Linked DNA regions of Mus musculus. The main gene of each other region encodes a partner of the protein of the gene in region 2 in a complex. Links are inferred from orthologs where the notes say so. Each region holds a gene or a part of one and is shown on either strand. Other genes may lie near its edges. The genes, in order: Ctnnd1, Ctnnb1, Cdh1, Cdh26, Bcl9, Pak4 and Fbxw11.

The links.
Region 1: Ctnnb1 (region 2) and Ctnnd1 share a complex: the UniProt entries of both Homo sapiens proteins name them as parts of the cadherin:catenin adhesion complex. The link is inferred for Mus musculus from reciprocal best matches to the Homo sapiens genes CTNNB1 and CTNND1.
Region 3: the proteins of Ctnnb1 (region 2) and Cdh1 are in contact, whole or in part, in a crystal structure (PDB 1I7W), measured with the Mus musculus proteins. Residues at the interface, in NP_001159374.1 of Mus musculus: Leu148, Ala149, Arg151, Ala152, Glu155, Leu156, Leu159, Asp162, Val167, Lys170, Ala171, Val173, Met174, Gln177, Leu178, Phe253, Ile256, Thr257, His260, Leu264, His265, Asn290, Lys292, Phe293, Ala295, Ile296, Asp299, Gln302, Ala305, Tyr306; in NP_033994.1 of Mus musculus: Asp788, Val789, Ala790, Pro791, Ile813, Asp814, Asn816, Leu817, Ala820, Asp821, Pro824, Ala826, Pro827, Pro828, Tyr829, Asp830, Ser831, Leu832, Leu833, Val834, Phe835, Asp836, Tyr837, Glu838, Gly839, Ser840, Gly841, Ser842, Glu843, Ala844.
Region 4: Ctnnb1 (region 2) and Cdh26 share a complex: the UniProt entries of both Homo sapiens proteins name them as parts of the cadherin:catenin adhesion complex. The link is inferred for Mus musculus from reciprocal best matches to the Homo sapiens genes CTNNB1 and CDH26.
Region 5: the proteins of Ctnnb1 (region 2) and Bcl9 are in contact, whole or in part, in a crystal structure (PDB 3SL9), measured with the Homo sapiens proteins. The link is inferred for Mus musculus from reciprocal best matches to the Homo sapiens genes CTNNB1 and BCL9. Residues at the interface, in NP_001091679.1 of Homo sapiens: Leu148, Arg151, Ala152, Glu155, Leu156, Leu159, Asp162, Asp164, Val166, Val167, Lys170, Ala171, Met174, Leu178; in NP_004317.2 of Homo sapiens: Asp349, Leu351, His358, Arg359, Ser362, Leu363, Thr365, Leu366, Ile369, Gln370, Met372, Leu373.
Region 6: the proteins of Ctnnb1 (region 2) and Pak4 are in contact, whole or in part, in a crystal structure (PDB 6WLX), measured with the Homo sapiens proteins. The link is inferred for Mus musculus from reciprocal best matches to the Homo sapiens genes CTNNB1 and PAK4. Residues at the interface, in NP_001091679.1 of Homo sapiens: Lys672, Arg673, Leu674, Ser675, Val676; in NP_001014831.1 of Homo sapiens: Ser331, Gln358, Thr404, Asp440, Lys442, Ser443, Asp444, Phe461, Leu475, Val476, Gly477, Thr478, Pro479, Tyr480, Trp481, Met482, Glu507, Phe516.
Region 7: the proteins of Ctnnb1 (region 2) and Fbxw11 are in contact, whole or in part, in a crystal structure (PDB 6WNX), measured with the Homo sapiens proteins. The link is inferred for Mus musculus from reciprocal best matches to the Homo sapiens genes CTNNB1 and FBXW11. Residues at the interface, in NP_001091679.1 of Homo sapiens: Leu31, Asp32, Ser33, Gly34, Ile35, His36, Ser37, Gly38, Ala39; in NP_036432.2 of Homo sapiens: Tyr244, Arg258, Ser282, Leu284, Ser298, Leu324, Lys338, Ala364, Ala365, Asn367, Gly381, Arg383, Arg404, Gly405, Ala407, Ser421, Leu445, Arg447, Tyr461, Arg494, Phe496.

What each region holds. Positions count from the first base shown.
Region 1 is NC_000068.7:84,616,241-84,619,740, forward strand, and holds part of Ctnnd1 (catenin delta-1), read right to left. Parts: intron 704-3,500; coding exon 240-703; intron 1-239. UniProt on the Homo sapiens protein: Key regulator of cell-cell adhesion that associates with and regulates the cell adhesion properties of both C-, E- and N-cadherins, being critical for their surface stability.
Region 2 is NC_000075.6:120,932,270-120,936,199, reverse strand, and holds the start of Ctnnb1 (catenin beta-1), read right to left. Parts: upstream 2,801-3,930; 5' UTR 2,562-2,800; intron 1-2,561. UniProt on the Homo sapiens protein: Key downstream component of the canonical Wnt signaling pathway.
Region 3 is NC_000074.6:106,651,850-106,655,349, reverse strand, and holds part of Cdh1 (cadherin-1 preproprotein), read right to left. Parts: intron 1,844-3,500; coding exon 1,700-1,843; intron 1,587-1,699; coding exon 1,431-1,586; intron 1-1,430.
Region 4 is NC_000068.7:178,461,515-178,465,014, forward strand, and holds part of Cdh26 (cadherin-like protein 26 isoform a precursor), read left to right. Parts: intron 1-1,071; coding exon 1,072-1,257; intron 1,258-3,500. UniProt on the Homo sapiens protein: Cadherins are calcium-dependent cell adhesion proteins. They preferentially interact with themselves in a homophilic manner in connecting cells; cadherins may thus contribute to the sorting of heterogeneous cell types.
Region 5 is NC_000069.6:97,213,865-97,217,364, forward strand, and holds part of Bcl9 (B-cell CLL/lymphoma 9 protein), read right to left. Parts: intron 2,762-3,500; 5' UTR 2,502-2,761; coding exon 2,449-2,501; intron 1,565-2,448; coding exon 1,248-1,564; intron 11-1,247; coding exon 1-10. UniProt on the Homo sapiens protein: Involved in signal transduction through the Wnt pathway. Promotes beta-catenin's transcriptional activity.
Region 6 is NC_000073.6:28,563,685-28,567,184, forward strand, and holds part of Pak4 (serine/threonine-protein kinase PAK 4), read right to left. Parts: intron 1,588-3,500; coding exon 1,129-1,587; intron 963-1,128; coding exon 522-962; intron 1-521. UniProt on the Homo sapiens protein: Serine/threonine-protein kinase that plays a role in a variety of different signaling pathways including cytoskeleton regulation, cell adhesion turnover, cell migration, growth, proliferation or cell survival.
Region 7 is NC_000077.6:32,641,158-32,645,354, reverse strand, and holds the start of Fbxw11 (F-box/WD repeat-containing protein 11), read right to left. Parts: upstream 2,801-4,197; 5' UTR 2,465-2,800; coding exon 2,420-2,464; intron 1-2,419.

The DNA.
Region 1 (3,500 bases), on a different chromosome or scaffold from region 2:
CAGGCATGGTAGTGTATGCTTTTTATCACAGAATTTGGGAGGCCGAAGCAGGTAGATTACTTCAAGTTCAAGTCCAACCTGCTCAACATAGTGAGTTCTAGGCCAGCCAGAGCTACACAGTGAGACCCTGACTCAAAAAGAATTAATTATTCAATAAATTAATTAAAAGTTAAGAGTCTAGAAAGTTCTAGATCCATACCTGTCTATAGATTAACAGTGACCTCTAACCTGGCACTCACCAGTAATCACTTCAGTCAGGTCCATATCACGAGCCTTTCGGAGCAATCGGACCAGAGCAGGAACACCATCACAGTTTTTTATGGCGATCTTGTTATCTTGGTCACGTCCAAAAGAGATATTCTTGAGAGCTCCACAGGCTCCGAGGTGCACTTCCTTTTTGGGATGGTCTAACAATCCTACCAATATCGGGATACCCTTGAGCTTCCGCACGTCAGTCTTCACCTTGTCATTGCGGTAGCATAAGTGCTGCAGGTATGCAGCTGCATTGGACTTAACAGCATCCAAGCGGAAGCCTAACATGGCAATCACCTCTGGCAGCTCAGGCTGTCTCCAGTTTGAAGGTGGGGGCATTCCCTTTCGCAAACTATCCAAGCTTGCTAAACTGCCCCGCTCATGCTGAGCTAAAGGAGCCCAATAGTACTGATCAGGCGGCACCTCTTCACCAATCATGTCTTCATAGCTCCTGCAATTTTGAAAGAACAAAGAACCAAGCAGTTAAATCTGGCTTCATAGACATTCCTATTACCAATCATCTTCAAGGTAGGATCACAGCTCTACAGAGATCATGTGTCTCCTCTGTATGGTCAATTTTTAATAATTTTGTGAGCAAGTGCAAGTACTCTCAATGTCCCTCGACATTATTATTATTATTTTTTTTTGAGACAGAGTTTCTTCCCAAATCTGAAGCTTGCTGATAAACTAGTCTGACTGTCCTGCAGGACCCAAGGATCCTCTTATCTCTGCCACCACAGAGCTTAGCTTGTTATGTAGGTACTGGAGCTCAAATCCTGGTCCTCATGTTGTGCAAAAAGCATTTCACCAACTGAACTCTCTCCCTGGGTCCAATTTTAATAACTTAAAAGTAACCTGTGGCCGGGTGTGGTGGCGCACGCCTTTAATCCCAGCACTTGGGAGGCAGAGGCAGGCGGATTTCTGAGTTCGAGGCCAGCCTGGGCTAAAAAGTGAGTTCCAGGATAGCCAGGGCTACACAGAGAAACCCTGTCTCAAAAAACCAATGAATGAATGAATGAATGAATGAATGAATAAATAAATAAATAAATAAATTTTAAAAAGTAACCTGTGAAGTTTGCTGATTGAGAAAGACAAGTATGTGGAACGTTCATCACAAAGAGAACACACAAGGAATCCGCACACAGGAAAGAGCTAGTGGAACAAAACTATTAAGCTCGCCCTATTTTGGAAATTGAAGAGGCACTGATCAAGAAAAACAGAGGACTTCTGGCTATATTGTTGAGGAGTTAGCTTTAGTACTACTGAGGCATAAACTTGAACACTAGCTGTCACAGTTCATCCCAGGGCCTCACGTGCTATTCAGTCAGACAGGTATGTTCCAAGAAGAGTTCCATCCTTCAACTTCTACATTTCCATGTCTGCCAAATGGCACCTATACACCAACATATATTGGAATGTCCCAGCTCTTGGATCAGAAGAAGAAACTGAAAGATGTCAGATGAGAAGCAACACTTCCTGTTTCAGTACCATCAATACCCACTAGAGGGTGAGCCTGTCACACTGTTATTTATAAGTACAAAGGAAGAACCCTATTATCTATGAGCTCACCTCACTCACCACCAACCCAACCCCCCCCCCCCCCCCCCGGGCTCCCACTGGGATAGGGGACTCTATTGTGTAGGACTCTCCAAATAAGACTTGCTTGTTCCATAAAACCACTCCCACAGTCACCAAACATTGAAAATTAGCCTACCTAACAGGTATCAACACTGATCATTAAACAATAAAAAACTCAGTAGAACAAATCATTTCATTAAAAAATAAATAGACTTGGCAGTAGTGGCACATGGCTTTAATCTCAGTAGTTGGGAGACAAAGGCAGGGCAAATCTCTATGAGTTCAAGGCCAGCCTGGTCTACAGAGAAAGCTCCAGGACAGCCCTGGTCTTGAAAAACCAAGGGAAGTAGGGGGTTGATAGTAAAGGCACCTTTAAACTTAAAATGTCATTTAAACAAAATAAAGTAAGTTGTTTTGTTTTAAAAGCAGATTGCTAAACACTATATGAAAAAATATTTCCTTTTAATGAGAAAACAGGATACATGTTTTCAAGAAAACCCCAAGAAACACCAAACTGTCCATGAGAGAATGGTGTTTTAGGCTGTATGCTGAGCATATTTTACTTTTCTTGTTTAAGACAAGCAACTATAAAAATAATTGCCACTGCCAGATTTTGTTTCAGTCACTCAAGGAAGTCTATCTTTATACTTCCTTCTTTCATAGGCAGTAGATCAAGATTCTTTCACAAATAACAAAACTGCACAAATGACCCAATAACTTGCTTAAGGCTCTATAGATAATGGCAGAGGCAAACTAAAACCAGGGTTTTCAAGTTCAGTGCTTTTGCCACTAATCACTGCCTTGCTATGAAAGTTTGACCTTGCACTATTCTTGAAGGCCGAAACAGGAAGCAGAATTCTTCTAGTCAAGAATCTTGCTAGTCAAGCAGGATTCCAAACTCAATGTCACCCTGGAATAAACCCAAGAACCAAGCCCCAAACCCGCTCTATGTGACTGGCACTTCAAAGGACAGCAGGGAACAGTCTGGTCATCCACACCCACCTGTGTCTAATCTCTCTTGGCTATTGAGGAAGTCAGAGCAAGCAGACTTCAGCCCCACTCCTTGGGCAGACTCTTCTAATGATAGCTGCTATCTATCTACCCTAGCTAGCTTACACCAGCTAAGATCTGGTGCCCCTTTAGGAATAAAAGGTGAGTCACATGGGAGTTGAATTTGCTAACCACGCCATCTGAAGAGTGTCAGTGACTCAGGCTTAGATAATAGGGCCTCTACTCCTGTCCCAGACTAATTCAGTTTATGGTTAGCCAATACCACCTAATATACATTTGGAAAGTGCCAAGACCTTTGCTTTGGAAGGTCATGAACCTACTTACAAAGACTGAGAACAGCTGCCAGGGCACCCTCACTATCAAGATAACTATAAGCCTTCCTTTATTTCTTAACTTGGAAAATATAGACCCTGATTTTAAAGTAATGTTTGCAGCCCAAGACCAAACATGTTTTTTTGTGCACACCCATAAGTAAGAGTTTTTAAAATAACCTTTTAAAAATATGAAATCCCGACAAGAGACATGACAAAGGCACTAATGAACAGCACACAAAGCCTAAAATGGGTCCTTTAAAAAAGGTCTACCAGCCAGAGCTAAATAGTGATACCCTGTCTCAACAATAACAAGAATAAAGAAAGGGAAGGAAGAAAGAAAGGGAG
Region 2 (3,930 bases):
GTTGCTGAAGAGCAAGCATCGCAGGGCTGCCTAACATTCCTCAAGCTGCGTCCTCTCAGGACAGAGGCTGCCTCCACAGGCCTCAGAACTGTAGCTGCTCATCTACTTTACTCTCTGTGGCATGAAGATGTCTTCAGTGAGATTGTTTTAAATAAAAAGGAGTTGACAGGGGCCACAAAACAACAAAAGAAAATGGAGTTAAAATGTTTGTACGTTTGCAAGGTTTTTACGAGTTTGTGAACACCGTTTCAGGAGTTTGTCCCTCGGGTTTGCTTCTGGCCAAGGACACTAAAAATTTACCACTAGGTGATGGGCAGAGACCACGACCTGGCCTCACCTCACCTCACCTCAGCACTGATATTTCAGTTGACTCCATCTACTTTCACTGTCCACTTCCTGCTTAGAAGTACAGCAACAAACGACTGTAAATATACCACTCCACTCCACTCGCCACCTGCAGTGTGCACAGGCTCTTGTCCATGCTCTGCCCTGAGTTTATTTGCAAAAGGGCTCCACCAGTTTTCCTGAGCACACATTTCAAAATACACTCCGACTAAGAAAGTTCCCCATCCTCCACCTTGGCGGTGGGATTCTGGGATTCTGAGACTCGTGAGCTAAGGCTTCACTCACAGTCTCTAGTCCCATCGTCACTACAGCAGTAGATACTTCCCTTCAAGCTGGAGACATAGATACCCAATATACAGTCTCTAAACTAGTGTTCTCAATCTGGGGGTTCAACAACCCTTTCACAGGGGTCACCTAAGACCGTGGGAAAACATTTACATTATGGTTCACAACAGTAGCAAAGTCAGTTGTGAAGTAGCAAGGAAAGTTTTACGGTTGGGGTCACCATAACAGTTGAGAAACTATTTTAACAGGTCACAACATCAGGAAGACTGACTGAGAAGCACTGCTCTAGACTATGAGAAATGATCACATGACAGTTAAACTCTATTTCTTCACGCCTGCATTCGATTAAATGTTTCCCTATCTGAAGATAGTCTTTTTACAGACTGTGAGGCCCAGGACTCTGTCCCAGGCAAGCTAAGCTTTCCAGATAGCCTGCTTCCTTAATTAAGGACTTCAGCCTGGGAGGGTTTGTTGTAGAGAAACATCTGCAAGTTTCCAACTTCCTTGCCACCACTAAAGGCCTTGTCCAGACTCGGCCTTGAGGACAAAGGTTAGGTAGGTCACAGAATGACTATCCCCAGTACCATCAACAATGTTGTCCGCTGTGAAAGGGCGTTCTCAAACAAACCTTGGAGGCACTTCATTTTAATTTCGGGGATTTCTGAATGTTTAAGGTGAAAGTGAACTAAATGTAACTGCGGGCCTTAACTCAAAGTTTGAGCCGGACATACAAAACCGAAATACAAAGGCCACAAGCTTAAGCAACATTAAATTAGAACCAAGAAAGCAAGCTCTTTCCCGGGACGAGGAGAGACTGCACTGAGACATCTGCAAACCTCAAGTAAATAGCGAAATGGCTTCCTAAATCCCAGACAAAACGCTTCACAACTTGGCCATGTGAAAAACATGAGGCAGACTTTATCAAAGGCAAAGCTGCCGTCTCCTCAGCTTGCTGTCTGGTCTAAGCCACCATTATTCATGGCACAAAGCTCTCGTTTCACTAAAACCACTCCTCGATTTCCTCTCGCCGACCTCCGCATACCAGCAGCCCAGCCGCTCTCCATTCAGAGCTCAGGCCCCGGGAGGGGGGCTGCGGGGGGCGCGGGGGAGGGGAGCCCACAGATGTCTGGAGACCCGAGCCCGAGACAAAGCTGCCCCGCAGCCAGCGGGCTCACCGGAGCGGGCCTGGGGTACCGAACTTGGGAGCGTCGGTTCCAAGTCTGGTCCCCCAAACAACACTCAGAACAAGTCGCCAGGCTCCCACGCCCTGGCGGTCCGCGCTCCGGCCACTCCGTCTCGCTCAGAAAGCAAACGCGCTGGGGAGAAACACTTGGAGCGGACCCCACACTTACTGGCTAAGGGCAAGTCCCCCTCCCCCAAGCCCAGGTTTCGGATCCCGCGCACCTCCCCCCCCCCCCGCCTCCAACACCAGGAGTGGCCGGTGACTCGTCCACGGTCCCAAATTCCCGCCAGGACCTCGGCCCCGCAGCCACCAACCCCACGCGAGTCCAAGAAGCCACCCTCCGAGAACACGCTCCTGACGCATCCCGCCCGCTGCATCCAAGTTTGGCGACTCCACGGCTTAAAGTTGTTTGGATTCAAACTCACAGTCAGGTCGTTGCAGGGAGAAAAAAAAATTTGTCTGTGCGTGCTCCACGAGGGACAGAGGGGACGAGCGCCAGGTCTCGCGTCCCCCCGGCTCCGCGGGCCACGGAGGCGAGGCCCCCGCCCACCCCGCCCCCGCGGCGGCCCCAGCCCGGACGCGAACCGCGGTCCCCACCCCCCACGGCGGCCAGCCGTCCATCCGGGCTCCCGGCGCGCGCCCGCCCGGCCCCGGCCCCAGCCCGCGCGTCCCCGCGGCCTCCCGCCGCCACCCGGCCCGCGAAGTTTCCCGCTGGCGCGGCGCGAGCCGGCCCGCCGCGGCGCCGCACCTCAGGCCCGCGCGCTGCTCACTCGCGGCCGCCCGCTCGGCCTCGGCCTCCTGCACTGACGGCTCGGCGCCCACCGTGCTCCGTCTCCGCCTCCCCGGGCCGCGGGCTTCACAGGACACGAGCTGACGCGGCCGCCACCGAGCGAGGGCTTAAGATGGCGCCGCACAAGGAGCGATTTATAAGCGGCGCGGCACCGTGTATCCTGCCGCTGCCGCTCCGCGCGGAGCGTTCCGCCGCGCGAGGACGAGGGGCGGGGCGCGGGCGGGCCGGGGAAAGTAGTCCCCGCCAGTCCGAGTCGCTCTGCGCGTGCGCCGCCGGGAGGGGCCGAGCCGGGGCGGGGCGTCCAGACGCCGCTCCATTGGAAACTAAAGGAATCGAGAGCGGGCCGCCGCCGCGGGCCGGGTGGAGTGCGGCCTCGGACGGCGCAGGTTCGAGGCTGCCATCACCGGTGCACCGGCCGCCACACCCCTGAACCACCATTGGACCCCACCACACTTTACCGCTCCCAGGAGTGTCCCGCTTCCCTTCCCGCTGTGCCTCTGGAATCCGGACAGGGAACCTGGGGCCCAGCCACCTTTCCTCCCCACCCCAGGAGGCCTTGGAGTCCCCAAGAGTGTCTGCGAACATCTATTAACAAGTGATTCAGCTCCACCACTGCGTTCACCAGCGTGATTCCTAGAAACCCCATCTTACCCAGACTCACTGGGTCAGTAGAACCAGGCGTGGGGACCAAGGACAGCGATTTTTCTGTATTGTTTGAGAAACTCGAGTGTGTTGCTGAGAGGACCTGTGGGTAACCTCTTAAATTTTCAAAACTAATTTTGTATCCTTCGAGAGCTCCCCCCCCCCCAAATCATGACAATAGGGTGAAGTTGGATCTTCTCTTGGAAATGGCCCCATTGTTGTCCTTCACGATTGGCACTTGTCAAAACTGGAGCAGTTGGGGTGAATTGGCTGTCTCCAGCCTATTATTCTGAGCTCACGTCTCTTCCCAAACAATGGCAACAGGGAAAGTTGCCCCACTGCCTTCTTTCATCCCAGCGCTGTAATTAACGCAAGTAAACAATAGGTCCTTATGTACAGGTACTGGCAGGAAGCCCATGCATCACTGAGGCAGGGCCGGTGCTGTAGGGCCAGCTTAGTTTTTAAATGACTCAATTTTCTATCTTAAAGACATATCACCGTAACTCTGTGAACCACCACAGTCCACCATGCTGGAGCTGCTCAGTGAGGGCCTTTGTCTAGACCTTTCCCCTCTGCAGCTCTGCTCGGATTTCCGGAGAGTAAACTCTGCTGCTGGCTGGGGCTGACTTGGCCTGCCATAACTCAGAGAGATAGAGCAGGAAAAGGTATTTTACCAAAGCCCTAC
Region 3 (3,500 bases), on a different chromosome or scaffold from region 2:
AGGAAAAGAAAGCAGGCTTGGAACAAATTTATGACCAAGGAAAACATTCCTTCTGGTTAGGAACAAGGTCACTATCTGGTAACGAAAGGTCATAAACTGGGAATGGATAATTTATTGTAGGTGCAAAGACAACAAATAAAATATTGACTAGTTTATCTATATAAAACTTTAAAATTAATAAGACAAAAGGTAGGTGATTTATCTCCACAAAACCGTGCTAATTTGTGATAAAAAATTATTTACTTATATTGAACTTATAGAGCTAAAGATAGATAGCAGATGTTTAGTCAGATACTATCTTAATGGGAAGAGATTAAACATTTCTGCTCTAACTCCTTAAACCTTATGACATGAACTGCTGCTTTTACTATGAACTTACAGAATGGAAAAGTGTTTAGAAAATCATGTAAGCCTAGCAGCAGTGGCACACGCCTTTAATCCTAACACTTGGGAGGCAGAGGCAGGTGGATCTCTGAGTTCGAGGTCAGCCTGATCTACAGAGTGAGTTCCAGGACAGCCAGGGCTACACAGAGAAACCCTGTCTTGAAAAACCAAAAAAGAAAAAAGAAAAAAAGAAAAAAAAAAATCATGTAATCAATTCTACCTGATAGCTGTATGAGGTAATTTTCAGAGAATGTGTGTATACTGAGAACAGAAATAAAGATTTGTTGGAGATTCTTTTCTCTGCTTCATCCAGAGTGAGTAGAGTCTTTTCCTTTCTCTCTGGCCCACAAAGAGTTAACAGAACTCTCAGCCTCAGAGTCAAAAAGGAGACAGCCTAAGCAACTAACTTCTTTTCTTAATCCCCTGCTGCTATCAGCAGGAGTTAATTGCCAGAAATCATCAGCTTTTAGCCACAGAATAGTGAGAGAGTTAAATTGCCAGACAGCTTCTGACCCCCAAAACAGCAAGGAAGAGTTCTGAAGCTATCACCAGCCTTTAGCTTTATCCAAGGCTCCCCCACCTCCATACCTGTTAGAGCAGGCTAGTCCCCAGCATGTATATGTATGTATGTCTCTGTCTCTATCTCTATCCCTGTCTCTGCCTGTCTCTGCCTCTGTGTGTGTTCGCATACACTTTTGTGCAGTTATCAAGGGAGGTCATACGGTGTCAGAACACCCAGAGCTGCAGTTTCAGGTGGTTGTGAGCTACCCATGTGAATGCTGGGAACTCAACTCAAGATTCTCTTCAAGGGCAACAAATGTTCTTATCCACTGAGCCATTCCTCCAGGCCCACTCCTACAGCTTCCATCTAAGCTCATGTATGATGTGAGGAATCCCTACAACATCAACAACTCACCATCCCAACTTTAAGATAAGTTAAGCTACTTATATGTCCAGGGCATCCAAACTGGGGATAAAACACCAGCTGCTCCCAAAATTTGACAACCGTTACCCAGTGGCCAACAAGTGTCTACAAAATTACTCACGATGTACTTGGCAATGGCTTCTCTATCCAGAGGCTGTGTCACTTTCAGCCAGCCTGTCTCCCTCTCAATGATGAAAACGCCAACGGGGGGTTTGTCAGCTCCTTGGCCGGTGATGCTGTAGAAAACCTTTGTTTCTTTGTCCCTGTTGGATTTGATCTGAACACAAAACAGAAGAGGATCAGAACTGGCCAGGGAAGATCTCAACATGGGGTCTTTTCATTTTCTCTTCTCTCAAGAGGGCAGAGCCTGCCACCAACTTCCTCTCCTACCTGAACCAGGTTCTTTGGAAATTCGCCCTTTTCATTTTCGGGGCAGCTGATGGGAGGGATGACCCAGTCTCGTTTCTGTCTTCTGAGACCTGGGTACACGCTGGGAAACATGAGCAGCTCTGGGTTGGATTCAGAGGCAGGGTCCTAAGAGAAAAGAAGATTAACAAAATGAGGTAATGCAGAAGACATACGGGTCTAACAGTTCATCCATCCCATGGACGTCCACCATCTTGAATTTAGTGACTCATTCTCAATGACAAATTACCTGTACCATTCAAGATGAACAGTTAAAGTTTAAGCCAAAGAAATAAACATACTGTTGTCTGGACGCTGACTTCCCACAGTTCCTATGCCTAAAAGCTTGGTTCCCTAACTTAGTGGCTAATGAGAGGCCTTCAGATCACAGAAGATATTCAGACCCGAGTCTCATCTTTGCTTTCTGGATCATATGACAAGTGGTTTACTCTCCAGTACGCTAGCCCAATTAGAGGACAGAATAAAGTATCATATGGGCTTGAACCTCCAGAGTTAAAAACCCAAGCAAACCCCACCACCACCACCCGTGTTAGTATGTTTTTTTGTTGTTGTTTGTTGGTTGGTTGGTTGGTTGGTTTGAGATAGGATTTCTCTGTGTAGCCCTTTGCTGTCCTGGAACTTGTTTTGCAGACCAGGCCGGCCTTGAACTCAAGAGAAATCCACCTGCATCTGCCTTCCAAGTGCTGGAATTGAAGGCATGTGCCATCACCACCAGGTTGTTCTCATTAAATCCTTAATGTTTAGCATTCAAATAATCACTGTGCATACAAAATTTGTGGGTCCAGACATTTGACAATTGTATTTAAAAGTTATTTCAAACTTATATGGTACATGCCCTTTAAGCCATACACTGATAATGTCAGAAGTAATTCAGTAACTAGCTATTTGGGAGTTCTAGGCTTCTCTTCTTTTGTTTCCCTAGGGATACAGCTCACCAAAGTGGAGCTATCAATCAACGAGTTTGGGGAATTGCTATTAAGAACTATTTCTGAGGGGCTGGAGAGATGGCTCAGTGGTTAAGAGCACCAACTGCTCTTCCAAAGGTCCTGAGTTCAAATCCCAGCAACCACATGGTGGCTCACAACCATCCGTAATGAGATCTGACGCCCTCTTCTGGTGCATCTGAAGACAGCTACAGTGTACTTAGATATAATAATAAATAAATCTAAAAAAAAAAAAAAAAAAAAAAGAACTATTTCTGAGATCGATACAAACATGTTAATCTTATTGTGTTATATCTGTAAGGGTTGCATTTGTTCTAACAGAAGCAGCTGGGCTAGGAAACAAAAATTACCTGGAGACTTGCATTGAACAGTTCTCATGTGCAATAAAGATAACTTCCTGCACACTCAGGGAAACAGGAAAGCCTAAGATGAAAGGCGACACCTCCTGGATTGGTTTAGAATGATTCCTGGTAACAAAGTTTCTACAAGATCTCATCCTTACCCTCCACAGGAAGACACTACATCAACAGAGACCACAGCCTGCCAAGTTCTAGCCAGGCCCTCTTTCCTGTCTGTCTGTTGTTTGGTTGGAACATTTTTAGAAACAATCTCATGAAGCCCAGTCTGGCTTCAAATTATGCGGGCCATCGGTGATCTTGAACTTCAGGTCCTCCTGCCTCCACTCAACAAAGGATGGATGATGGGTGCATTTATGTGATAGTAGGGTATAGAAACCAGGGCCTCATGTACTCTAAATCAGAACTCATCAACTGAGCTACATTTTCAGCCCTTCTGGATTGGTCCCCCCTGCCCCCAAGAAT
Region 4 (3,500 bases), on a different chromosome or scaffold from region 2:
TAACTGTTGCATTAATGATTCAAGCAATTAATTTTAAAAATGTGTCATTTAAATTTTTTTAATTACATAAACCAACGTGGGATGTTTTCAGATGAAAGCAACTCATCCAAATGTTTACACAAATGGCAGAATAATCTTACAGTGAAGCCTTGAATCAGAAGCCTCCCCTGGCTTAGGACAAAGCTATGTGTTCAAACGTAAGCCTGGGGAAAAATACATTGCTGACCTGCTGTGCTTGCTCGGAGACCTATCGCCACAAAATTCTGAAAATCCAGCCATTTCAAGGAACCACGTGTGCTGGAAAGATGGTCACCTTGATCCAAACAAATCTCTCTCTTGTTGAGGAAGAGCTGGGGTACTTAAGGCTCGTAGGCTGAGATGTGTACTGCATCTGATATCTTTATTATGCACTGACTATGCTTAAAATCACCCAGCTGTAGACACGGAGTCATGCCATTTGTCATGCCATTTGTTAGAAGGATCCCGCTCCTGACTCAATGGTATTTTCTGCTATAACTGGAGGAATGCCAATACCCGGAGCCTGCGGGTGTCTTGCTAAGGACCTACCTCTCCCTCCTCTCGGTTCCTGCCCTCCTCCTCTTGCTTCCTGCATCCCTCCTCTCACTTCCTGCTCTCTTCCTCTTGCTTCCTGCATCCCTCCTCTCATTTCCTGCTCTCTTCCTTTTGCTTCCTGCATCCCTCCTCTCACTTCCTGCTCTCTTCCTCTTGCTTCCTGCATCCCTCCTCTCACTTCCTGCTCTCCTCCTCTCACTTCCTACCCTCCTCCTCTTGCTTCCTGCATCCCTCCTCTCACTTCCTGCTCTCCTCCTCTTGCTTCCTGCATCCCTCCTCTCACTTCCTGCCCTCCTCCTCTCGCTTCCTGCATCCCTCCTCTCACTTCCTGCTCTCCTCCTCTCACTTCCTGCTCTCCTCTTCTCACTTCCTGCTCTCCTCCTCTCACTTCCTGCCCTCCTCCTCTTGCTTCCTGCATCCCTCCTCTCACTTCCTGCTCTCCTTCTCCATGGTGTGTCTTTGTGCCAGTGACATGGAAACGATGATTATTTCTTCCAGTATGAGATTCGGATTTCTGAAGGTCAAGTCGAACAGGGTGTGTTGTATCTCCCTGTCCAAGATGGAGATTCTCCATTTACACCAGCATGGAGAACACAATTCAACATATGGGATGGCAACGAGGAGGGCCATTTTGATATTGTGACTGACCCTGAGACCAACCAAGGGTTGTTAAGTATTATCAAGGTAAAGTCAAGACCGGGTTGTGGTGGGTGTTGTAGTCCTTGTCTGGAGGACAAGCCATAATGCCTGAGGGGCTGGTACCTGCTAAACACTCACTGTGTGTCAAGTGTGTGTTGTGCCCTGGGCAACCCTTAGAAGAATGCAGGAGCAGATGAGCCCTTTGTCTAGAGGCCAAGGACTCCTCTTGCAGAAATGATAATAACCAACTTTTAAAAATCTTATTTGAGTGCCTGGTGTGGTGGCGCACGCCTTTAATCCCAGCACTTGGGAGGCAGAGGCAGGTGGATCTCTGAGTTCGAGGCCAGCCTGGTCTACAGAGTGAGTTCCAGGACAGCCAGGACTACTAGAGAAACCCTGTCTCGAAAAACGAAAAAAACAAAACAAAAACAAAAAACAAAACAACAAAAAAAACTTATTTGATGCTTTGATGTTGCTGTTGGAGGTAAAATTTACTATGTTCACATGAGCCCTGGAGGTTGGATGTTGTTGTTGTTGTTGTTTTGTTTTGTTTTTCCTGATGCAATGAAAGTGAACTTAAAAATTTATTCATTTTCTTGGTAAAGGGTTTCAAGTCTTGGAGACTGCCCTTGAATTCACTATGTAGTAGAGAATTCCCTTAAGTTTCTGGTCTTGCCTCTAACTCTGCAGTGCTGGGACTGTGGGTGTGCACCCCCATGCTTGCTTTGTGTGGTGCTGGGGATCAAGCACAGTACCTTGTGAGGGCTAGGCAAGGGCAGGACTGGTTGGGCCGCATTCCCATTCCCTTTAAACAGGCTTCTCCAACTAAAAGTTCTTTTAATCTCCTGGGTTTAAAACATTTTAAACATCTGAAGTGTAAACATTGGGGCATGTGTGATGAGCAGAAGAATCTATCTACTACATGCAGTGGAGTAGCTGGCCCTGGAGGGAAATAGTCTTGCCATATTTTATAGGTGAGGAAATAAAAGATCAGACCGATCCCTTTATATAGAGTCACATAGCTGAGAGGGTGGCTTCTGACAGGGCACTGCAATGCTGAGTCTTTGTGGCTTTCAAGGAGACACAAGGATGGCCAGTGCCTTTCATCGTACAGCAAATCAATTGCAAGGACCAGCTGGAGTCAATACATCTGGTACAGTCGAGAGTTTGCCTGTTAGTTGAACAAGTTTCAGGAAATACCAAGGAGTGACAGTCCACACTGTGCATAGCAAGGTCCCTGACAGCCTTCTGCACAGTCGCCTGCCACTGAGTTATTTGTCAGAAGCCATCTAGAAAAGGCTAAGATGTGCAAGTGAGTTTTCTGGAGATGAGCTACCATCTTTACAAGGCCTTCAGTGGGAGAGCTGTGAGATGCAAGGTCACCAAAGACTTCATTCTAAGGAGACACGGGAAACCTGCCTCTGCACTTTCCTGCCATCAGCAGTCAGATCTCCCCTTCCCCACTTTCCCAGCATAGATGCCTCTGGCCTTTGGAGAGGTCAAACAGAAAGGGGCCAGCCTGGCACTGGAATATTGCAATTCATTTTTTCATGGTGGCACTCCCTTCCCCATAACGACCTCCCTGGGGCGGAGGTTGGGGATGGAGGGGCAGCGGCAGATGCCAGCTTTGGGAACAGACAAAAAAGCAACATACCCTAGTCCCTGTGTCACCAAGGCTAACACTCTCCTTGATAGATAACCAACATTTCTCCAGTGCAGATGGCTCCTGCCCTTGAAGGGAACAAGGACCAGACATTCTTGAATTGATAAGAGGCCCACTCTTAGACCATGAGAAAAGGGCAATTAAGTGTTCCTAAACAGCTGTGACCAGTTTGTAAAAATACACCAGCTTCTGATAATACCATAAAATTACTTTCCAGGTCAAGAAGGTCCCCTCCCAGCTGCATGGTTCCATCCTGATGTCTGAACAAATGTTATCAGGTTTAAAACATGGCTTTCCCCTGTCACCTCTCCAGTCATACAAACCCAAAGATAGAGGATCCCTGCTTGTATATATATATATATATATATATATATATATATATATATATATGTATATATATGTATATATATGTATATGTATATATATGTATGTATATATATATGTATATATATGTATATATATGTATGTATATATATATATATATATATATATATATATATATATACACACACACACACACACACACACACACACACACACACACACACACATATATATACTCCAAGCCCCTAGACACAGGCATCATATCCCTAACCTGCCCAGTGGGGAAGGCTTTTGATTTAGG
Region 5 (3,500 bases), on a different chromosome or scaffold from region 2:
GAATTACATTCTAAAAGAATGAAAGACTCGCTGTCACGGGGAGAGCAGGCGGCTCCTCCCAGCCGTCCTGCTAGCATTTACAGCGTCATCACAACACAAATCCACCTTGAAAATTTCAAGAGCAAGTTCCTTGCTAAGAGAAATTGTCTCTTCTACTCATATATATCAAATACTTTCCCTAAATGACTCATTATGCATCACTCCTCCGCCCTCCCCTGTCTACAGCACACACATTAGCATGAACGTCCCTCCTTTCCGAAACCTTTTAGACACGACAGGATACCCCTGGTAATCAAACTCATAGCTCCCTTCTAGTAACTTAGTATTTATCATATTTCATACGGATGGTCTGATGATGGCTGGCTTTCTAGGTGCCCTCAAGTCCTTAAGGATGACAACTATCTGTCCTGCTGTCTGCACCCTCAGTCCCCAGGAGAGGGCTGGGATTCCAGGAACACTTCAGAAAGGGAGGGGAAAGGGAAGCAGGGAGAGGCAGGGAGGTTATTCAGTTTACACTTTCATTTTGGGCTGAGGAAATCTCACTTTCATTTCTTAAACAACAAACAGTATCTTCACTTTCTGGCCTGCTCTTAAGTTTTTGTTTTTGTTTGTTTGTTTTTTTTTTTTTTTTTTTTTTTTTTTTAGTTTTAATGTAGGAAGAAAAAAGCTGAAAGCCCCATACCAATACTCTTCCCTGACTTGTTCCACTGTGGTGCCTGCCAACTTTCTACCACATCTGGTAGCCACTCATTCCTGCCACACTGAAATCAGCTGTGACAGCTCTGGACTAGTGCCAGGGCCATTAAGGCTTCCCCTTGTGTTTATCAGTCTGGCAAAGTGGCAACCAGAAAGCACAAACCTAAGTCCTGGAGGATTTCTCCAAGGCGGGAATGTCAGAGAAGCTGCTCTAGTGTGGGCAAAAGACACAGCTGACTGCAGCTACTGGCTTGACTGAAGAACCACAGTGCAGGCCAGAAATATGCTTACGAACATGAGCTAGGACTGTAAGATATCTGATCAAGCCACACACCTTCGAGAGCAAGAACTCAACGAAGTGTTCTAGACTCTTCTTCAATGAGGAGAAAAATGAGACGCAGTGGTTTATCTATCCTAAGCTGCAGACTTCCAGGCTCTGCCGCCTCCTCTCCCACTTCACTGACAGCAGCCTCTGGCCTCTACTGAATGTTAGACGCCTTCCCCAGGGAACACCTACTTCCCTCTGAGTCTCAAAGATCTTGTAGACATACCTTTAATGTCAGAGTCATCGTTTGGAGTCCCAGGATCTCTCTGATCAAAGGAGTCGGCCGAAATACTTCGCTCCCTTTTCCCCTTGCCCTTGGCACCATTTCCAGCCCCATTCTTCAGCCCCATGCTCCCACCTGGGCCAGGGAGTGCTTTAGGGGTATGGCCCCCACTCTTGGAGTCACAGGGGGATGGCTGGGATTGGCTGGCTGAGCCCCCCGGTTTACCCTGATTGGAGAATTTGGAATCCAGCTGGGGGTTTCCAGATGGGGACATCACTGTAGGGGGACGGACCATCACCTCCTGCTTTGACTTAGGGCTACTAAAAGAAACAAATAACAAAGAGAGATCAGATGCCAGATACGGCCAGTACAAACTGATATTTCTAGAATGGGTTAAGGAGCCCCTGTGTGCTGCAACCTTGCCCACTTGCTTGTCCCTGCCACCCTGGCTCCCATCTTAGAGCTATCAACAGAGAGGAGGATCAAACAGAATGGCCTCCAGGTCTCAGGAACACTAGAGTCACATGGGGACCTATCTCTAGGGCTTCTGTCAATAAAGGACAACCGTTTCTATGTACATAGAAAAGTGACTCTCACACTAAGACTAGCTCAGAGTAAACAAACAGACATCGTTAAGATCAAAATACTACCACCCCCAGGCTCATGACAAGGAACAGCTGTAATGAAAGCCTAGCTGCTCTGCGGGAACAAGCAAGCAGGCCCAGGAGGGCAGAAGGGAAACCCACTGGAGCTGTCAGGTTAGGGAAATCCTCCAGTGTCCAGATCCCTTCCAACAGCAACACAGCACCAAAGCAGGGCAGGCAGCCTCTGCCCAGGGAAGACAAAACATTCTTTTAAATAACTGGGTACTGAGAATCACAGCAAGGGCTCTAGGTGGTAGTTGGTGGTGGCTTAGTTCCAGGACCTCATTACTCTATGCCTCAGATCCTCAGATGGTGCTGGCTGGTCTGTAAGGTCCTTCTGCTTCTGCTTCGGAAGGGTGGGGAAATGGTACAGGTGGGAGATACGGGAACGGTGGATGAGAGTAGCCCAGAAAAACTGCACTTGTTATTGCTTCAGTAAGTTTCCTCTTCCTTTGCCACGAGTGTCCATCCTGCTTCTAACTGTACCCGCGGTTGCAGCAATGAGTGTGTGTGGTGCCCATGTGCCATGCCGAGGGGTGAGAGTGAGGCCCTGCCCTTACCTCTGTGTGTTTCCTGATGGCGAGCTCCTCACTTTAGGGTTACTGGGATGCATTGATTGAAATCCTGAGCTCTCGGTCACTAACTGAGACAGGCTCACCGAGTTCCTCTCGGGCTGCAGCAGAAGTAGCTGCTAGGGGCAGAGGCGGTTGCCCACTGTTTGCTTGGTGCGTCCCTTAGTGCTGGCTGCCTGTTCGACTTTTTCCTCTTTGTTTTTCTCTGCTGTGGAAGTGGGTCCTTCCCCCTTGAAGTTCCAGCATTCTCTGAGTGTGTGCCTCCTGCTGCTGAAGGAAAATCTCGCATCTCCAGGGCACACTACAGGAGAAGGACACACAAGGCAAGAGGTGAGAGTGAAAATGAACACAGAAACACCTTTCTACAGGGTCATTTGTCTGGGCACGAGACAGCTGCGCATGCCTCCACTCCTGCTGGATAAAGGAGAAAAGTCCTCTTGCAGCCATTAGCTCCAGTGTTTAAGCAACTGAAGGGGACTAAGAATTTCTCATCAGCACACGGGCCTCCCATCCAAGCAACTGTGTTTGTGGTTGAGAAGAGGGAGTTAATTTTCAGCTGTTTATTCTCCCTTGTGTTTGTTTCTGAATGTAACAGTCTCAATGGACTTGGGTTGTCTGCCCCCTCTCCCAAATAATGCTTTGAGACCACTGGGCATTGCCTTCTGATGGTGGGCTGCGGTGGCAAGCAAGGGCAGAGATGTGTAACAAACCCATCCCAATTTCAAACTATGTAGCAAATTATCGATGCTTTTACTCTTCAGGCCTGAGGGGGATGGGGTACTGAAGGAGACTCTTCTAAAAACAAACATTAAGCTAATACCAATACAATCAGTTCTGCCCTCCACCCCCCCCCCATTTCCATGATTCTTCTATTAAATTATGCAGATTTTGTAACTGTGTCCTCACCTTAATGACAGGGACATGGGCAAGCATGGCAATGAGCCACAGACTGGAAGGTAAAGGAGTATCTTTGAAGGCTAAGATATTTTTTGAGCCAATTTGCAAGGCTAATTTGAAGCATAAAGGTCAATAAAATATTA
Region 6 (3,500 bases), on a different chromosome or scaffold from region 2:
AGGTACCTGTCACACCCACACACTTCAGAACTGCCTTTGTGATGGATGCCAAGGTTGACACCCAGAGCCAGAAACGGGGTCGAACCAAGTTCAAGTCCAAGTCTGGTTCTGAGCTATCTGGGACAGGATCTGATGGGCAAGGAGCTGAACTCTGACTTGAGGACATGGGAGACATTAGGAGGGTCTGTCAAGGCTGCAAAGGACTCCTTTCTCGGATGTGATACATGGAGTGCCCAGGGGAGGCCTGACAGAAAAGCTGGAGCCCAAGGGTGGGAGAAAGAGGCTTCACAGAAGAGGGACTGGAGGAAGGGGATCCTGGGCAGTGGTCTCGAGTGACGGATGACAGAGCATCCCAGAGACAGGAACCCTGAAGGAGAAGAGGTCTGGAGGAGAACACAGGCCCAGGACTAGTTGGAACAAAGTCATGGGCACTTGGGATGACAGGCACAGGCAGGAGTCTTAGCCTGGGACAGCTGTGAGGAGAGGAGGGCAGAGCATTGGGCTTCCCGGCCAGCACCCACCTCATTGAAGAGCAGTTCACGTCTTTGCTGCTTGCGCAAGTCCATCTTCTTGACGGCCACCAGTTTGCCTGAGCTGCGTACAGTGGCAATGCACACAATACCTGTAGAGCCCTCACCAATCTTGATGAAGTTGTCTAGATAGGAACGAGGGTCCCCTGGGTCCACCACCAGCTGCAGGGCAGCCCGGAACTGCTCATGGGACACTCGTTGGGGCTCCCGCTGTGGTGAGCGAGGCCCAGGGGGCCCAGGGGCAGGAGGTACAGCAGGGGCAGCAAGGGCACGTGCTGGGGGGGCCAACTGGGGCTCAGAGGCATGGGGACCCAGAACTCCTGGGCTGGGAGCACCACGGGCTCGGGTGGGAGGCCGGGAGGAGGAGGAAGACTGAGGAGCGGCCAGGCCTGTGGCTGAAGGCCCATTAGGGGCCATGGTATGTGGCTCCCCCTGCAACAGAAGAAAGAGGCGTTGTGAGTGGAGTCTGCATTAACTCTCACCATCCGGATGACCTGTGGTCAGGATGAGAAATGCGCTATGGACTGGAATAGGGGCGGGGGGGTGGGAGGGAAACAATGGAGTGGATACTGAGGTGCTAAAGTGGGGGATGGGTTACCTGGGCACCGCGGGGTGGGTGGTCCGTGTCAGCCCGTGGGTATGTGTTAAAGGGCCTGCCAGCTGCTAGTTTTGTCCCGCTGGTCAGACTGCCAGGCTGAGGAGTGCTGACATCAGGCCCAGAGAGTGGGCGCTTATCGCGGGAGGCCTCCTGGGGTCCTCCTGGACCATCCCTCGAAGATTTGGGCCTTTTCTCTGGCCCCACCCGCCGTCTGTCACCACTGCCACTGCCTGCCTCACTGTGGCCTGTGGCCCGGGCTCTGCTTCCAGCTTTGTCAGGGGCCATTCTGGCCGGGGCTGCCCGCTCCTCCAGCATTCCATTCTCCTGGTGGGCACGGGCAGGTGGTGGTGGACTCTCTCTGCGTAGGGAGTTGGAGCGCGTCACCGACATGTTCTCAAATTCGTCAAGCAGCAGAGTGAGAGCCCCATCCTTGGCACCTTTGCTGCCCCGAACGATGGTCTGGGGTCCAGGCAATGGCAGGGTAGGGCCAGGAAGGAGGGGACACAGGTCGTGCATCCGACACAGGAAAGACAATACAACACAGAAACAAGACAGAGACAGGTGAGGTGATAGCCTGTGATGATGGGTGGGAGCCCCAGGAGCTGCTGTCACGCCCACCACCCACTCTGGTGCTCCCCCAACAAGTGCCTCTTGACTTTCCTTGGCTCCCAGCCTGGCAGCAAGCTCTGCCCTGTGGACTAGGGTGAGGGAGGAGAACTCAGCCTATAATCAGCCCCCAAGAGCTGCAAATTACAGGCCGCTTGGCTCAGCACTTCCTCCCCTGCAGGCTGCCAGCATCATTAACCCTCAAACCACGCAGCTCTGATCCCCTAGGGCAGAGGATGTGGCGCAGAATAGAAAGCCCACAGCCTAAAGCTAGGAGGCTTGGGAGCTGTGTGGCAAGCGTCAACTGAAACATGCCCTGAACCACCAAGCCTCCACTCTCCCTGCCCCACTGAGGTGTGGTCTTCTTGGCTCCTCCTGAGCACTGGGCACATCAGGCGGTTCCTCCAATACACTGGATGTGTGTCCATCAGCTCTTTGCCCTGCCCTACATCTCCCAAATGTCTCCATGGCTGTCCCACTCCCCTCCCAGAGGTCTCTGATCAAAACCTCCTTCTCTGAGGACTTGCTAACCCCTAGTTTAAATGCCAGCCCACAAGTCTCCGGCTCTTTCCTTTTTTCTTCTAGAACAGTGGTTCTCAGCCTTTCTAATGCTGCGACCATTCCTCATGCTGTGATGACCCTAAACACAAAATTATTTCATTGCCACTTCATAACTGTGGTCTGCTACTGTTATGAATTGTAATGTAAATATCCACTATGTGGGTCGTGACCCACAGGTTGAGAACCAGGGTTGTAGGCCTGCTGCAGCGGACTAGGCTGTGAGCCCAGGATGCTGCTTTACCCTGTGGCCTTCCCGGGGCTGAGCACTTGTTCTACCATTCACAGCCTACCAGGTCTTGGACCTAGATCAGAGTCCACACCAAGAACAAGGTACTTTGCAAAAGAAGGAAGGAAGGGAGGAGGAAGGCAAGAAGGAGAGGTGGGGAGTTGCCTGGATAGTCTCTGAGGCTGAGTTTATACTGAGCTCCCGGGAACGACCTGGAGTCCATAAGGCTCCTAATGGCATGCTGTGGTCCCAGCCTCTTGTGGGCCCTGGCTGTCTGCCTGAAAGCCTGGCCTTGTCCAGGGAGTCAAGAAAGATGGATGTTAGGTTTCAAACCCAGGACAAATGGCTGAGGTGCCTATTTGACATATCAAAGCAGACCAGGCCTCTAGCATTTCCCAGCATCCCTCAGTCCCTACCTGTTACAGGGTCTTTCTTTCCGGCATCCACTGCTTCCCCCTGGACTGCCTTCCCCCAGCTGCCTTTCCCTATATAATCCAGCCATTTTGGCTGCGCTGACTCTGCTGCCTTTTACCCTCCTGGCCTCCTGGCTCTTCCCTCCCCCTCTCCTCACCTGGCTCAGAGTCATGTCCACTCTGGCCTCTTCCAGATGCCCCTGCCTCTGGCTGTGCTCTCCCTCATACCCACAATAACCTCCTCCACCACACCTAGGAGCAGGCATGTTTACCTTTTTCATTTCTTTTTTCCTTCAGGGGCTACCTGCCAGGCTCTGCTATTAGAACCTGAGTCAGTGGTCAGGAAGCTTGTCATCTAGGCAGTCCCAGCTAAGGTGCCTGCCTGCACGGGAATTAGGACAAGTGTCCTTCCCCTGGCAGGACTGTGGAAAGGTGTGGAAACACAAGGGTGCATAGAGCAGTGGTGAAATTTTGGGGACACACAATGTGTGAGAAATGACCACAAAGCTCATTGGGTCATGGGAGTGTTTAGGGTGGGTTGTCTGGGGACTATGGAGGGGCCTACT
Region 7 (4,197 bases), on a different chromosome or scaffold from region 2:
TACATAAACAACTTTTTTTTTAATTAGATATTTTCTTTATTTACATTTCAAATGCTATCCGGAAAGTTCCCTATACCCTCCTCCTGCCCTGCTCCCCTACCCACCCACTACCACTTCTTGGCCCTGGCATTCCCCTGTACTGGGGCACATAAAGTTTGCAAGACCTAGGGGCCTCTCTTCCCAGTGATGGCTGACTAGGCCATCTTCTGATACATATGCAGCAGAGACACGAGCTCTGGGGGTACTGCTTAGTTCATATTGTTGTTCTACCTATAGGGTTGCAGACCCCTTCAACTCCTTGGGTACTTTCTCTAGCTCCTCCACTGGGGGCCCTGTGTTCCATCCTATAGATGACTGTGAGCATCCACTTCTGTATTTGCCAGGCACTGGCATAGCCTCATACGAGACAGCTATAACAGGATCCCTTCAGCAAAATCTTGCTGGCATATGCAATAGTGTCTGGGTTTGGTGGCTGATTATGGGATGGATCCCCAGGAGGGGTGGTCTCTGGATAGTCCATCCTTTTGTCTTAGCTCCAAACTTTGTCTCTGTAACTCCTTTCATGGCTATTTTGTTCCCTATTAAACAACAACTTTTTAAAGATATTTTGTCGCCAGGCAGTGGTGGCACACGCCTTTAATCCCAGCACTTGGGAGGCAGAGGCAGGCGGATTTCTGAGTTGGTGGCCAGCCTGGTCTACAGAGTGAGTTCCAGGACAGCCAGGGCTACACAGAGAAATCCTGTCTCCAAAAACCAAAAACCAAAAAAAAAAAAAAAAAAAAAAAAAAAGGTATTTTGTTAAAATAACTATCAAAGTTTCCCAAACTGTTATAACCAACAATTCGATTCTGAAAATGGAAAAAAGTCCTCAGAACCTGAAGATAAAGTGACAGAATTCCTTTCAACACATACAACCAACCAGAAACTTCCAGGTTTAATTTTCAACAATCCAGTTCTGCACATTGTGCAGAGTCCAGCAGACATGAGACTCTGTATTTTATGCTACTATACTTCCATTTTAAAACGTGTACCTCAGCTCCCTGGATAACATCATCCACAGAAACCATGAGGCTATCCAACAGACTTTCAGTATCACCATTTATTATTTATAGCATTAAATGGGGGAAGTGGCTCTGATGTCACCAACCCTACCCAGTGGAATCACTGACTCAATAAGCGATTCACACTGGAGAAACTCTGACGAGGAAAACATCTTGCTAAGTTCAGCAGATCTTTCACCTTTTCTTAATACTGTGGAGCAGATACTAGTTGTTACTATATCAGTAGAGATACAAAGAAAACTATCAAGGTTTTCACAGGAAGAAGCCCTTTGTATGTTCATTTGCAGAGGCTGATTTCCTCCCCAACTCTCCTGGGCCCAGTTTGATTTCCCTCACGTTCAAACTGGCAGGTAATACCAGTCAGCCATACTTTATTTCTTCCGCCAATGAGCAAATCCTTCACTTTCCCAGACTCAGAGTCCTGTTTCCAAAAACCTTTCTAGCACCAAGTCTGAGGTCAGAAACGGGTTAGGGGTGTCCGGGGAGACCTGACCAGGCTGGCTACCAATGGTTCCTAACAGTACAGGGATCGCTGCTTATCCGTGGGCCAAGAAACCCCCCTCCCATTTTTTATTATTAAAATAAGAGAGGGTGGCAGTGATGAGCGCGACCTCTTCTCCCTCCCCTCTCATTTCCCAAATGATAAAAGTTATGGTTTCCCTTTCCTGGGGGATGGAATTCAAGAGTACCTAGGGCCTTGCTATACAAACATCCTTCACGGCAGGGTAGGAAACCCTTTGTCCAAGAAGCCTGACACCGCAGGGGCCCGGAAAATAGGCCCCTTATCCGGAACAGCCTCAGACTCGTAGGCACCCCCAACATCCCAGTCCAATGGGGCTATCCTGGCATCCATACAGCGGTAGCTTGGGGCGAGGGTGCTGAGACCCACCCCTACCACCCACCCCACCCCACCCCACCCCACCCCCCGCGCCTAGGTTATGGAGGCCGAAGCGGCTCCAACTGGTCTCGGACTCCCTTCCACCACCATCACCCTCAGCTTGAGCGAGGCTGGGAGGCGCGATGCAGGCCCGGCCAGAGGAATCCAGGGAAGGGAAAAAGAAATCCCCTTCTAAAAACAGAGTGTGATGGCAAGGCAAGAGTGAGCAGTGGCTCCGGCAGGAGCGAGGCTGGGGCGCCGGAGACTGGCCGGAGCCCGGCAAGGAGGGGGTTGGGGGAGCCGCGGGGAGTGGAGGCCGTGCCGGCCCAAGAGCGCGAAGCGTCAGCAACGAGCCATAGCAGGGGGGCGGCCGGGCCCAGGCGGCGGGGAACGAGGGCTGGCCTGGCGCGGACGCCGGGGTGGGCAGGCCCCCCGGCCGCCGGCCGGCCGGAAGAACTGAAGGCCAGTGGGCCGCACTCACCATGAGCTCGATGGTCTTGTCTTCAATCACCGAGTCGGGCTCCATGGCGGCCCCGGCGGCCCCGCCTCGCTCTCTCCGCTCAGCAGCGATCGGCCCGGGCGGAGGAGGCGGTGGCGGCGGCGGCGGTGGAGGCAGCTCTCGCACCCACTCTAGCTGCCAGCCCGCCCGGGCCGCCCGCAGCTCCGCCCTCACCCTCGGCCGACGCAGGACGCACAGCGAAGACTACAACTCCCGGCAGCCGCGGCGGCTCGCGCAGCTTTGTGGGAGCAAGAAGCCGCTTGGTCCAATCTGCCGGCTTCTGCCACCGGAGAGAGCACCTAGGGGAGCGCAGGGCTGTGAGTGCCGGACGTGCAGAGCTGGAGTATCTAGGGCTTGCTCGCGATAGGGCCTCGCGAGCGCCGCGACTACTTGTCCCAGAAATCCTCGCGCGCGAGGTCTTCTTCCGGTTGGTCGTTCCTGACTTCCTGGCAGCCCGTAGCCGCACGGACCTGGACGGAAACTCCGAGGCAACTCCTCACTTGTCGGAGATCTTTGCAGTGCGAGCGAGCGATCTCCGCACATGCGCAGTGGGTGTCTGCGGTGCCCACTAGTCGTCTAGGCTGCAGCGCTGCCGTTCCGTGTGTGTTGCATTTGGTAGGGACAGATGGTGGAGACAGGTGGGTCCCAGGTTGCACTAGGAAGTGTGGGAGGGGGCCCGCGAGGTCGAAGACACAATTAAAGGAAGATGGGCATCTAAGAGTTTGGAGACTGAGCTGGGAAAGCGGTGTGTGGAGATCTGCCACACTGACTGGGAGGAGCTGAGCCATGAGAAAGAAGCTATACATTTTGAAGACACTTTTTTTTTTTTCCGAGACAGGGTTTCTCTGTATACCTGGCTGTCCTGGAACTCACTTTGTAGACCAGGCTGTCCTCGAACTCAGAAATCTGCCTGCCTCCACCTCCTCAAAGGCGTGCGCCACCACCGCCCGGCCGAAGACACTTATTTTTAAGCATTCAGTTTCTACTAGTACTGCCCTAAGCACTGGGAATGACCGGAGAGACCTCTGTTCTTATTCAGCTTAATTCTAGTGGGAAGACAGCAGACATTGACTAAGAGTTAGAAATGATATGAAGAAACGCATCTAGAGACTTCAGAGAACCTCTAACTCCTTGTGACTTCCAAGTCTGTCAATACCCTCGAACCAAAAGCCCCCAGGAACACGCTGATAGTTGAACAAGGTGGGTTTTTTCCTAGCTGAAGTAGAAATGAACATACACCATGATGAAGCAGGGACGTCTCAGTAAGAGACCTTAGGTAATGTAGAAAAGGATTTGAAGGGGCTTTGGAGCAGATACTGCCGGGAAGTGGGGGTATAAGACTGGGCACCTCAGCCTTATCTATGGGAAGTTATATTAGATTAAAACTAATCCAGTAATTGTTGACAGCCTCTCCTGTTAGCCAGATTCAAGTGTTTAGTCTTGTAGCTGTGTTTCAGGGACTTGGACAATGTCCATGTTTTATCTGTGTTCACAAATGATTATGGGGTGGTCTTGTTTTTGTCTTGATCCATAAGCTAAGGCCACAGAATGGCCTTGTCTAATGTTGACGGACTGTTAAGTTGTTTATGTTTACAGGAGACCTGGCAGTCAGAGCTGTTATAAAGTGTCTCAAGGGCCTGGCTCATTGTACCCAGCCCACTTCACAGTAGCAGTGCCTGCTTGCCTGCTTCTCAAGTTTGTTTCAATTCTTTGCCCCTGTAAAGAGGATGACTTAGTACTCTAACGATTCCCAGGGAGCA